2 linked regions of the Oryctolagus cuniculus genome follow. The protein of the gene in region 1 interacts with the protein of each later gene in a pairwise test. Links are inferred from orthologs where the notes say so. Each region holds a gene or a part of one and is shown on either strand. Other genes may lie near its edges.

The links.
Region 2: the proteins of TXNDC5 (region 1) and GMPPB interact in a two-hybrid assay, tested with the Homo sapiens proteins (2 studies listed by BioGRID and IntAct). The two-hybrid records come from large-scale screens. The link is inferred for Oryctolagus cuniculus from reciprocal best matches to the Homo sapiens genes TXNDC5 and GMPPB.

The regions. Positions count from the first base shown.
Region 1 is NC_091436.1:162,675,243-162,681,104, forward strand, and holds the end of TXNDC5 (thioredoxin domain-containing protein 5), read left to right. Parts: intron 1-200; coding exon 201-283; intron 284-1,602; coding exon 1,603-1,732; intron 1,733-2,534; coding exon 2,535-2,657; 3' UTR 2,658-3,955; downstream 3,956-5,862. Other genes in the region: BMP6 (bone morphogenetic protein 6), read right to left, coding at 5,030-5,179, 5,274-5,384. UniProt on the Homo sapiens protein: Protein disulfide isomerase of the endoplasmic reticulum lumen involved in the formation of disulfide bonds in proteins. Can reduce insulin disulfide bonds.
Region 2 is NC_091441.1:99,539,251-99,546,068, reverse strand, and holds GMPPB (mannose-1-phosphate guanylyltransferase catalytic subunit beta), read right to left. Parts: upstream 4,807-6,818; 5' UTR 4,648-4,806; intron 4,556-4,647; 5' UTR 4,551-4,555; coding exon 4,422-4,550; intron 4,292-4,421; coding exon 4,211-4,291; intron 4,122-4,210; coding exon 4,073-4,121; intron 3,942-4,072; coding exon 3,799-3,941; intron 3,629-3,798; coding exon 3,470-3,628; intron 3,386-3,469; coding exon 3,307-3,385; intron 3,235-3,306; coding exon 3,107-3,234; intron 2,533-3,106; coding exon 2,350-2,532; intron 2,290-2,349; coding exon 1,828-2,289; 3' UTR 1,760-1,827; coding exon of another isoform or gene 1,597-1,759; 3' UTR 1,514-1,596; coding exon of another isoform or gene 1,428-1,513; 3' UTR 1,351-1,427; coding exon of another isoform or gene 1,256-1,350; 3' UTR 1,123-1,255; coding exon of another isoform or gene 980-1,122; 3' UTR 727-979; downstream 1-726. Other genes in the region: AMIGO3 (amphoterin-induced protein 3), read right to left, coding at 1-348; E3 ubiquitin-protein ligase RNF123, read left to right, coding at 980-1,122, 1,256-1,350, 1,428-1,513, 1,597-1,759. UniProt on the Homo sapiens protein: Catalytic subunit of the GMPPA-GMPPB mannose-1-phosphate guanylyltransferase complex. Catalyzes the formation of GDP-mannose, an essential precursor of glycan moieties of glycoproteins and glycolipids. Can catalyze the reverse reaction in vitro.

The sequences.
Region 1 (5,862 bases):
CAGTGTCTGTGCAGCGCCCGGCTCGGGCCTCTCCTGGGCTCGGGCCCCTCAGCCTGCTGGCCTCCTTGCCCCGGGGTGGAGCTTGTGTGGGTACGTGTGTGTGAACCTGGAGCACGTATAAGACGGCATTTAAGAAAAACAGCCGGCCTTGCCCTGCTTGAGTGACGTGTTAGAAACCGTGGCTCTCTCCCCCCACGAAGGACATGGTGCTGGCACTCACAGAGAAGAACTTCGACGACACCGTCGCGCAGGGAATAACCTTCGTCAAGTTCTACGCTCCGTGGTAAGTGGCCGCCTGGTGCGGTGCTGTCACGTCCTTTTCCCCGATCATTGGCCTAACGCTGCGGGCTCAGTGCGGGCGGGTGGTCCACTTAACACGGGGGTCATGCGCTTCGTTCCGCCCTCGGATGCAGGCGCGTTGAGGTTCGGGGGCCTCGTTCGCAATTACGTGTAGAGGGGTTATTTTAAAGCCCCTTCTGCTTTGGAGAGAACGCACATAGCAGTGAAGTACGACAGTCAGACACACGTTTGTACTTTCTCCAAATCTTTGTTGGGGAGAGCCACGCACATCAGGCTAGAGCTTAGCTCTTCCGGGTCCGTTCAGCAGTGGTGCAGAGCAGGCCAGCGGAGCTCAGCTTTCTCTGGGAGCCACTCGGTACGTGACCCAGTGCTCGATCCCTCCCACCACGTGGTCCTGGGAGCATGAATGGACGGTGCAGGTCCGAGACCCAGACCGGCTGCTGGTGGGAAGACAGCAGGTCCATTTGGACACACAGGGCATTGAGGGGAATGGTCCTCCTTGTGTAGACGGGCCGAGGTTACGCATCACTGTAGGCCTTGAGCTTAGTTCAGGCTGGGTATCCGTGAGAAGCCGCAACAACCGAGAACAGTGACTCAAATGAGCCGTGCAGTGTGCAATCCTTTTTTTTTTTTTTTTTTTTTTTTTTGAGAGAAACGGAAAGGTCTTCCTTCATTGGTTCCCCTCCCCCAAATGGTCGCTAAGGCCAGAGCTACACCGATCTGAAGCCAGATCGGTGCAGGGCCCAAGCACTTGGGCCATCCTCCAATGCCTTCCTAGGCCACAGCAGAGAGCTGGACTGGAAGAGGGGCAACCGGGACTAGAACCCGGCACCAGCCCCAGTTTGCAGTCTTAATTTTTTGGTTTCACAAGCCCTAAAGCTACATGAGTACCAATCAAGCATAAAGAAAGAAGACAGGAGAGAAGCCGTCCACGCGGAGGGAAGGGATCAGAAAGGGGGGCCAGGGGGCAGGTGTGAAACGCACGAGACGGAAGCCCTGAGCTCGCGCTGCGCCCGAAAGCCGGCGGGCTAGGACATCTGTTCCCTCTCCTGCTCCCGGTGCATGCAGGAGCCAGTGAGCTCTGTTCACCAGACGAAAGCAGCTCAGAACCCAGACCTTGCTTGCTTCTCTAGGTGACCTGGAAATGGACTTGGGGCGGGAGGTGGTGGAGTGAGCACGCGCACAGCGGGAACCTGGTGACCGCTGCAGGCCGTCTCGGAGCAGCTGGGCAGTGCCATGTGGGTGCGTGGGTGCACGACCGCACCGGCGACCCCAGCGGAGCTGTCCCTGCTCTCTCTCTAGGTGCGGCCACTGCAAGAACCTAGCTCCCACCTGGGAGGAGCTCTCCAAGAAGGAGTTCCCTGGTCTGGCGGAGGTCAAGATCGCCAAGGTGGACTGTACCGCTGAGCGGGAGATCTGCAGCAGGCATGCGGTGAGTAGACGCGGGCGCACACACGCAGGGTTCCCCCGAGGGCCCACCCTCCTCCTGAGTCTCCGGGGGCGCTCTCGAGGCTTGCCCTCTGCTGCGCTGCAGAGACACACTTAGAAACTTCCCTCGGAACGGGCCGAGCTGTCTTCCTGGTCTAACGGCCGGGATGATTTGCAGGTGGTAGAGCCACGAGGTGGGGAGGGGGGCGGTGATGCCTGGCCCACGGGCTGTGTAAGGTCACATACAAGGCGTCGCAAGTAGCAGGCTCATTGTTTAAGAAGTTGATGATTTCGTATGGTCTGTGACTGTTATAAATACCCAGACGGCCCTTGGAGGAAAAATGGCATCCCCCCACCCCCGCCCTGCCCTGTTAGAGCTGATGCCCTCGCTGGAGGGAGGGTGGAGGTAACACAGACGCGGTTCACTTACTAGTAGATGCCTGTCGGGTTAGTAGGCCCAAGGAAGCGAGCTGCACCTGCCTGGTGCACGCTGTGAGAGTCTTGCTGCAGCTCACGGTGGGGCTGGGCCAGGGCGCTGGGCAGGAGTGCAGAGCCCCCGCCCCCGCCCCCTGCCTCTCCCATGCACCTTAAAGATGGAGAGAGGCTAGCGCCATCCCTCCCGTACTGATCTTCAGTCGACCGTGCAGCCCCGAGGTTTTGCCTGCTGAACTCTCCGGTCTTTTTTCAATGCTCTGTACATCTTTGCAAACGAGCCGCCGAGTTTCCCAGCCCCTAAACTGCAGGAGCAGCGTGTGAGAGAGCGATGGGGAGCACGGGTTTTCAGACCTTTCTTCTTTTTCGTGAAGGTGCGAGGCTACCCCACGTTGCTGCTTTTCCGGGGAGGAAAACAAGTGAGCGAGCACAGCGGCGGCCGGGACCTGGACTCTCTGCACGGCTTCGTCCTGCGCCAGGCGAGAGACGAGCTCTAGGAGCCCCGCGGGCAGGCGCCGGCCTCCGGGAGTCACGGCCAAGTTCGCGGGCCGTGTGGCACCTTCTCCGTGTAACCCGGGGTCACTGTGCACACTCGCTGCTGTCAGTGGCGACACACCCCCTTCTAACTTTCTCTTGATGAAATTAAACCGTATCCTTTGAGGCTAAAATGAATTGAGAAAAAGCAAATAACTGGACTGTTTTCGGCTCCTGGGTGATTCTGTGGCAAGCAAGCATCCCCCAAAGCACGGTGTCTGGGACTGCCTGCGACCGCTGATCCGAGTGTCACCGTCCATTGACGTCGACTTACTAACAAACGTGGTCAGGCCGGGAGCGGAGGGAGAAAGAAGAACCCACGCGCCCAGAAGACACCTCCGTGGCTGCCAGTGGATTTTCTGTGCCACACCTCTCCCCCCACAAGAGGTTAGCCAGAGCGAAAGCAGGGGTCCTCCTGACACGTGCCTGAGGGTGCGGGTTCCAACGCCGTGATGCCCCCGATGCGTTCCTACCCGTCTGGTCCATTAGTATCATTCCAGGATGCTCCCGTCTCTTCCTCAGGGGCCAAAAGGGCTCAGGAGTTGACGACGTCACCGTGAGAGCCTTGAGAGTGGCTGCCTTCCGTAGAAGCGTGCACGCGGGCAGTCCCGCGCGGCGCCGTCCCAACTGTTAACTCCCGGGGAGGGTCTGGTCCTATGGCTGCTTTCCTAGGTCCTAGGCCCCCAGGGAGACCCGGAGGCTTGCAGTACCTGCCTCCCTCCTACGAGGTGGCTGACGGATGAAGGAGGGGATTCCTTTGACCTCAAGACCAAAGACTGAAGCCGGCAGCCTGTTCTGGTCCCAGGTGTGCACAGTCATGGATGCTAGTGTCCTGGGTCTGGTGTCATCCTGCCGTTAAACTGTCACCACCCCCACCGCCGCCTCCCTGCCCCCTGGAAGTGAGCAGCCATAGGACTGAGCTCCCGTGAGATACAGACCTGTCCTGTCCTTTACCAGCGAGTCATTCTCGGAAGAGCCACTCTGTGGCCCGTGCCCTCTGCCCGCCTCCACAGAGCAGCCGCCGGCGCCGTGTGCCGTGGCAGGGGACAGCCGCATCTCGAGCCGGCCCCTGCCTTACAGGGAATCTTTATTGATCACGTGTGGTTCACAGATACTCTTGAAAAACCCAACCTTCTCCAGAAGCCCAGGCCTCGGGTAAGGCTTCGGCTTTGCATCATGAGTCTTGTATTGGAAGAAAAATCAAAGTGGTACAATTTGTTTACACTATACTTTCTAAATAAACTTTTTAAAAAAAAACAAAGCCCAGTCTTTTCCTTACATGTTACAGCAAAAGGGATATAAAATAGACAATAAATTATAGTTCCTATTTACAAAAAAAGCTGTAAGTGCAAAGAACTATAGATTATAAATGTATTATTTAATCAGTTTAGTATGAAATTGATTTCCCAGTACATGAATTGTGAAAAAGACATCTTTAAAAATATTCTAAGATTTAATCTGAGCCTTAGCTTTCTACCAGAGGAAACTGATTTCAGATTTCAGTTTATAAACAGCACACTCAGCACCCCCAACCCTTTCCTAACGGCCAGGCGCCCCTTCTCGATGTCTCCTTTAGCGGTTCTAACTACAGCATTGATGGGCTGTACAGGAACAGGCACAGAACCACGTTAACGCACCAGCGCTCAGAGCCGACGTTCCTGAAGGTAGCAGGCCAATGTAGAGGGGGTGCAGAGCTGCTTGCTAAGGCGAGGGCCACGGTGAGTGCGCCGCGCCTCACCTCTGCGTACTCTGTCTCTGAGAATACAGGCGGGAGAGGGTGGAGGTGTGGAAATGATGGGGTGGGCTCTGGCTGAAGTCAAGTCTGTTTTCATACAAACTACAGCACAAACCATGTAACAGCCATGACTGAGACAAAAGGCACCTGGCTACAGGTGGGGCTGTTTCTCCCATGGGAACTGACCCTCCTGGGAGCAAAACCTGCATCATCCTGCATAACCAACCTGTGATAGATGCTACTGAGCCGCTGACACCAGAGACAAGGATGCTTTCACTCTCCCCGACGTTGCTTTCCCTACTTACCCACTAACATCACAAACAGCCTGAGCTCCAGCTAACTCTGGGGGGCTGCGGGGGCAGGGAGCTCTTCAAAGTTCTGTCTCTGCAGTCGCCAGACCTCAACCTGTGAAACATTCGACTATTCACGTTATGTACGAAACCAGTGAGGTCCTTTCAAGCCTTCCGTGGGGCAGTAAGGCACCAGCATGAGATGGGTTTCAGAGTTATCTCACTTCCACTGTGGTTCTGAATGCTTTGTAAGGCAGTTGTCACCCAGGAATCCAGAGTGGACTTCGTGTCCCCAGCAGACGGCTGTGAGCTAGTGGCATCCGCAAGCTCTTACAACCATATTCCTGTACTTCTTCAAGATGACATTGGAGTTGTCGTCAAAGTAGAGAACTGAGATGGCGTTGAGTTTAGTTGGAGCACAGCACGGTTTGGGGACATACTCGGGATTCATAAGGTGCACCTGTTAGGAAACAGCAGCAGGAAGAGCACCGTTTAGGAAAGGCTCCTGGTCTGGGTTTGGTCCCATTTGCAAAGTGGCACGTGGGCACGCTCACCAGGGTCTGCACGATGGCGTGGTTGGTTGCGTTCATGTGTGCGTTGAGGGGGAAGGAGCACTCTCCGTCACAGTAATTGGCAGCATAGCCCTTGGGTGCGATGATCCAGTCCTTGATAACAAGGAAGCAACAAAAGATGAATAGACCCACCTCCGTACACCCTCTGTGCTCTGTAGCCCTGTGAGAATTTGTGGTGGACACGTAGGGAGGCTTGGGAAGATTTTCCCAAGTTCACAGGCAAGTGGCAAAGTTGTGTGGACCTGGTCAGTCTGCCTCAGGAGCCCTTGCTCCTTTCCTGGGCCCACACAGCCTCAGCTGCTACCTGCACGTTAGGCCTGGGAGCCCGCAGGTGCCTGGACCCAAAGGACCTCCAGGAGCCCAGGGTGCCCCTGTCAGAGTATTGCCACTTGCCTACAGAAACTACTACCTCTCATCACCTGTAATTAATTTGCTGCTTACAGACTAGCGGTGGCTCTGCCATGTGGGGCAAAACCTCTGTGCTCTTCTGCATGGTTTGGGTGAGGCAACTGATGGCCGCTGGAGACGCTAACTATTACATCATTATCTCAAAACTATTAAAATTTGTGCA
Region 2 (6,818 bases), on another chromosome or scaffold:
TGCGTTAGAGGATAGATCCAGCAGCCTCAGGCTGCTGGCATTGGTGAAGACGCCGCGACCCAGCGCATCCAGCGCGTTGTGGTCTAGGCGCAGGGTGTGCAGCCGGGAGAGGGGCGCCAACCAGCCGGGGCGCAGGCGCTGGAGCGCGTTGTGGCTCAGGTCGAGGTGTGCGGCCGCGGCAGGTAACGCACCTGGTACGTCCTGCAGCCCCAGACCCGCACAGCTCAGCAGGTCGGCAGCGCAGACGCATCTGTAGGGGCAGTTGTGGGGCGCAGCAGGCGGGGAGCCCTCAGTGCCTAGCCCGACACGCAGCATGCACAGCACTGCGCCCAGCAACAGCCAGGCCATGGTGGCGGCGGCGGCCGGGCGCGGGTCGCAGCTCCTGGACTCACCCACTCTCGCTGTGGTTCAAAGGACGGCCTGGGGCCGAGGCGGCACCAGGCGCGCTGCAGCCGCTCCACGGCCCCCAGCGGGAGACGGGGCCGCGCTGCACTCCGCGCCTGGGTCGGCTCTCCTAGCCGCCTCCCGGTGCTGCCCCGCTCGGGCTCCTAAATACTCCCCGGGAGGCCATGGCTCAGGGGGCGGGGCGCTCGGCTCCCATTGGTTCCCGTCGCAAGGGGCGGAGCGGCTGCGTCCCGGGTGGCCGCCAGAGGGGGCGCGAGCAGAGGGCCACTATCCCAAGGGCAGCGGTTGGGAATGCGGTTGGGAATCCGGCAAGAACGTCTCTAAGCTATTCGTGTTTGTTTATTTGAAGTAGCTTGGAAGGGTTAATGTACTGTGGGCTTTGAGTACCTTACGGTGGCCTGGCTGTGTAGGATCTTTCTGGAATCCGGGACCTCGGAGGGTTGGCTAAGCAGCAGGGAGATGAAAAGGCCAAAGGGTGTGCTAACGGATGGTCGGAATTGCCACACCCCCTGCTCCCTGAGACTCCTGTCTGGCCCCAAGCCTTCTCACTGCCCTTAAACCCGCCCCTCCCCAGGACAGAGCGAGCCACGTCCGTGCTCCTGGCTGACCCCTGCTTCCAGCTCCGCTCCATCAGCTACCTTCTGGGGCAACCAGAGCCCCCAGCACCTGGCGCTGCCCTGCCTGCCCCTGACCGGAAGCGCTTCTCCCTGCAGAGCTGTGAGTGGCCTAGGGCAAGACCAGAGACTGGGCGTGGTCTTCAGCCCCAAGAACAGCCGGCTCCCAGACTGGGACAAGGGAGGCACTAGGCTCCAGGGCCGTAGTGGGCCTGACCCCACCTCCTGCCCCCCAGATGCGGACTACATCAGTGCTGAGGAGCTGGCCCAGGTGGAACAGATGCTGGCGCACCTGACCTCCGCCTCCGCCCAGGCAGCAGCTGCTTCCCTGGTGAGTAGGAGCGCCGCACACCCACAGACAGCAGCGTCCAGCCCCAGCTGAGCCCGCCCTAACGCTCCCTCCTACAGCCCACCAGTGAGGAGGACCTCTGCCCCATCTGCTACGCCCACCCCATTTCTGCCGTGTTCCAGCCCTGTGGCCACAAGTCCTGCAAGTAAGTAGCCTCCAGGCATCTGCAGGTAGGGGCACAGGGACCCCGTGCAGCGCTCACCCCCGCCCCCCGCCCCGGTGTTGCAGAGCCTGCATCGATCAGCACCTGATGAACAACAAGGACTGCTTCTTCTGCAAAGCCACCATTGTGTCAGTAGAGGACTGGGAGAAGGGAGCCAGTGCCAGTGGTGCCGCCGCCGCCGCCGCCACCACCACCACCACCACCACCTCCACCTCCTCGGCTGCCTAGCCCACAGCATTCTGGAACCTCCACCCTCGGACCCAGACCCCAGGCTGGGCCCTATTTATGAGCTCCCCTCACCCTGCCACCTTCCCTGCCACCTCCAACCTCCTAGCCTGTGTGCAGTCTGATTGGTGGGAGCCTAGCCACGGCCCTAACTGTGCCTGAGCTGAACTAGGAGTCAGGGCCACAGCGAGCATTAAATTATTATTCCAGACAGCCCTGGCCGCGGCCCTTCTTCGGGGGAGTGGGCCATGTGCAGGGTGCCCAGTGGGGAGCCCGCGGAGAAGGCAGGTGTCCAACAAGCTCCGGTGGCCTTCAGTCCTCCCCCGCAAGTCCAGGGCCCTCACCCCGGCCCGAGGGCACGGCAGCTCGGCCTGCGGGGCCCTCACATGATGATGCGTGGCTCCGGCACCGACTCGCCGATGGACTTGTGCGGCAGCACGCTGGCCCCGTTGAGGTAGAGCTCGTCGTTGACGATCACGTCCTCGCCCAGCACAGTCACGTTCTCCATGCGCACCTCCGGGGGACAGAGCAGGCTGCGTCAGCCACAGTGCGTCCCCGCCCCTCCGCCTACCTGGCCCCACCCACAGGCTTACCCACTGGCCCACACGGCAGCGCCAGCCCACGATACAGGACTCGAGCCAGGAGTGCGAGCGGATGTGGGCGTCCCGCAGCACCGTGCAGCGCCGAATGCACACGCCGTCCTCCACCACCACACCAGGCCCCAGGCTCACGTTGGGGCCGATGCTGCAGTTCTGACCAATCCGGGCACTTGGGTCCTGAGGGCCACGGGGAAAGTGCAAGTGGGCCACCTGTCACCCAGGCCTGAGAGAACCGATAAGGGGCTGGGGGCCTAGCCCATGAAGCCACTGCCTGCAATGCCAGCATCCCATATGGGCGCCAGTCCGAGTCCCGGCTGCTCCCCTCCTTTCTTTTTTTCCCCCCTAAGATTTATTTATTGCAGAGGCAGAGGCAGAGATTTGTCTTCCATCCTCCAGTTCACTCCCCAACTGGCAACAATGGCTGGAGCTGGACTGGATGTGGGGCAGCCGGTACTCAAATCGGCACCCACATGGGATGTGGGCACTGCAGGAGGCGATGCCACAGTGCCGCCCCGGCTACTCCGCCACAGCCTGGGAAAGAAGATGGCCCAAGGGCTTAGGCCTCTGCACCCCCGCAGGAGACCCGGAGACGCTCCTGGCTTCCATCAGCTCAGCTCCGGCCGTTGTGGCCATTTGGGGAGTGGACCAGCAGACGGAAGACGTCTCTCCGCGTCTGCCTCTAACTCTGCCTTTCAAATGAATAAATAAATCTTTAACAAATTGACCAGCAGGGGCTGGGCAGGGAGCTCACCACGAGCACGTTGCCCACGATGCCAGGGCCCGAGCACAGGCGCTCGGGCTGCTTCTGCCTCAGCGACTGCAGGAAGAGGCACATCCCGGTGAGGAAGTCTTTGGGCTGGCCGATGTCCATCCAGAAGCCTGCAGGGACGGGTGCATCAGGGGGCTCAGCCCAGCCACAGACCACCCCCACCCTGTGCCTCCCTGCCTCACCCTGCAGCTCCATGGCATATAGCTGCCCCTCCTTGGCCATAACGGGGAAGACCTCCTTCTCAATGGACGTGGGCTGCAGCTGTGGGAGTGGGCAGCTCGTGAGCAGGGTCATGGCGCCAGGGGCCTGTCCCAGCCCAGCCCCCCAGCAGCTGTCCCTACACACCTGGATGCGCTGCAGCACGGCAGGGCTCAGGACGTACATGCCTGCGTTGATCTTATTGGACACAAACACCTGCGGCTTCTCCACAAAGCGGTGAATACGGCCTGTTTCAGCCTCACACACCACCACACCATACTTGGAGGGTTCCTCCACCTTGGTCACCTGAATACAGGGGGGCCCAGGCCTGGTCCAGCGTTCCTGAACCTGGACGTGCATGCTCTGATCTCTTCAAAGATACATGCTGCACAGCTCCATACCCGTAACGAAAGGAGGTGGTTCAAGGCTGGGCACGGGGAGAGGGAATGTTAGAGCAGGAAGACCTGGTCTCTTACCAGGATGGAGCCCTCCTGGCCATGGTGCCGGTGGAACTGCGCCATGGCTTGGAAGGGAAAGTCACAGATCACGTCACTGTTGAGGACGAAGAAAGGGTCTGCCGTCTCGGAAAGCAGGTCCCGGGCCAGGGCCAGGGGCCCAGCTAGGGAAACAGGACCAAGGTGCCGCCTTGTTAAGGCTCTGAACACCTGGACCAGGACTCCACCCAGGCCAGGTCTTTCCCTTTCCCGAAAGCTCTAAACCTTTCCCAAGGGGCTTCCTATCTGCACTGACCTGTCCCCAAAGGCTCCTCTTCATGGGACATGGAGATTCGGATTCCCAACTGGAAGGGAGAAATCACCTGGTCAACTTCTCCCTCAAGGTGGGAAGCTGGCCAGGCACTAAAGAAAAGGGCAAGAGTCAAGGCCTCACCCTCTGCTCCTGCGCCTTCATTTCCTTCTCCAACACCTGCGACATGTAGCTCACAGCTAGGATCACGTGGTCCACACCTGCCTGTTGGACAGCACAGCGGACAGGCAGGAGGGCTCAGCAGGGGAGGCACAGGCTCCCACCAACCCCTCCGCCGGTCCCGTCGCCAGCCATCTTTCGTCCCGCCTGGCCCAACCCTGTCCCCGGACCTCACCGCGGCAAGGGCCTCCACTTGGTGCAACAAAATGGGCTTGTTGCAGAAATCCACCAGTGGCTTCGGAGTGCTCAGCGTCAGCGGCCGCAGCCGTGTCCCATAGCCGCCCACCAAGATCAGTGCCTTCATCGCGCCTGCGGGCGACGGGAGACTCAGTCCCAGGAGCCAAGGCGGAGCGGCCCGCCCGGCCGTGCCCCGCCCCGCGCCCTCTGCCAGCCAGACTGACCGACTCTGGTTCCACCTGGTCCACTCTCCGCCGGACGCCAGGGCCGGGCCGCCACAAACCAGGAGCAAACGCGGAGCAGAGGGCCGCGGGCCCGGAACTCGGGCCGGACCCGGCGCGGCCAGTGACGTGTCCTGGAGCGCACCAATCAGCTGCCGCATACGTGGCACCGCCGCCGCGTCGGAGCGCCGGTCTGCGCCGCAGCAACCGACGTAGCCAATGCGAGGCTGAGCGCGCCGGGTTGCTATGGGGACCCACACGGGACCCAGCGGGTCAGCTCCTCATTGGCGGATCCAAAGGCGGAACTGGCGGCAAGGGCGCGGCCTCCTCCCCTATCCCTCCCAGCGTCCGCCGCGACGCAGCTGCACTCCCCCAGCCTCGGCGCGGGCGAGCGGGACGAGGATGGAGCCGGCGGCGGCGATGAGGCTGGCAGCCTGCTAGGCCGGTCTTTCCGGAAGCCACGAGGTTTTCACAAAGACGCGGGCACACTTGTTTCTAGCGGCTTTATTTGGACATACACGATCTCAGACACAAGCGGGGCGGGCAGCGCTAGGTGCACAGAAAGGGGCGGGCTCCGCCCAAGCAACCCCTCCCACACGCAGGGTCCCGAGAAAAAGCAACTGCGCCGAGCCGGCGGAGCCACGTGTCGAATGTGACGCAGGCCTCGGGAGGCGTGGACAGGCTGAGTTTCTATGAAAGCGCAGAGAGCGATTCCCCGAACTTCCCCCGGAGAAGCAAAGGAACTAAGTCCTTCCCAGGGTTCTCCGCTTTTTTCCCGTTAAAAATTTAAATCGACACAAACATAACCACATGGTAGGTACAGTTTTAAAGTTCAAAGCAATCTGCATCTAGGGAACGTGCACGTGGCCAGGTGTGAGCGCGTGAACAGCAGCTACAGAACTAGCGCAGGCCCCTGGCTTTTGCTGGGAATCCCCACGCCCATTGCACAGGCCCAGAGGGGTAGGGGCGGGGCCCCTGGCAAGTTGCTACACTGGTCCCCTTCCTCTTTAAGCACCACCATCCCATCCAATCCCGGGGGCTGGTGTCAGCTTGTCCCAGGAAAGCACTAGAGGGGTCACCTGAGGGCCCCAACCCATGATCCCACGTTGCACTTTGGTCCCAAATTGGGGCTGGGGAGACAGGGCCTAGCAGGGACAGGGAGAAGCAGCCCTGGCAGGAAGAGAATGTATGTGCACGCACACACCTCACCCCTAACAGGGCTGGCTGTCTGCAGGTGTCAAAGTGCTGAAGAGGTCCCTGCCCTGGGAAGCAGCAGGAGATTGCAGGCCCTTCCTCTTTAGTGCCAGGAAAACACTGAGTGTAAGTGGGGACAGCCTCCCTCGCTGTGAGCAGCAGCAGAACAGGGCAGAATCTGCTCCCCAATCTACAAACTGGGCAGTCCAGAGTGGCCCCAGACCCTCTGTCCTATCCCCTACCCTGCTAGGGAACGACTGTCTACACTAAGGAAGCCACAGAATGGTACAAGAGAGAAGATGGTCATTACAAACCAGAAACAGGCAAACTGCCCCTCCCAGGCCCAAGCAATGGGAACCTGCCCCATGGGCACCAGGGTCAGAGAGCGGGGGGATGGGATCCTTCAAGGAGCCCTCTCAAGAAGCTGCACTGCCAAGGACCACATCATCTTTCACTAACACAGGCCAGCAGGTTTACCTTCAACACCAAGACAGGGACAAAGCCCCAGGGGACGATGGTGGCCCCAGGTTTGGAGAGGGTGCTAACCTTGGCAATGGCTGAGTGCTATGTCACCTGGCCACCCGTGTCAGAGGCAGCAGGGAGACGACAAGGATGGGAAAGAAGGCTGGCTTCTTGAGCCTTCACTGCCCCAGTGAGTGCTAAGGCCGCCACGCTCCAGGCCCCTGGGGAGGCGCTCAGCCAGCGGGGAAGTGCCGTCTACAACCCGTCCTGTTACCAGGTCTCTGACACGCAGCACCTGCTGAGGAAGGGCACCGGCGTAAAAGCTAACCTCAGAAACGGCCAGGGAATCTTGCACTGAGGAGAGCATGAAGGAAATCAGTACACGCTGAAAACCGACGCTCCTCCCCAGGGGGAGCCTCCCGGAGACAGGGGCGGGTGGGTGAACAAATGGACAAACTGAGGGAGCCCAGGATCAAACACAGACATTCTCGTTAGCAGAATCTGGGCACCTGCACCCA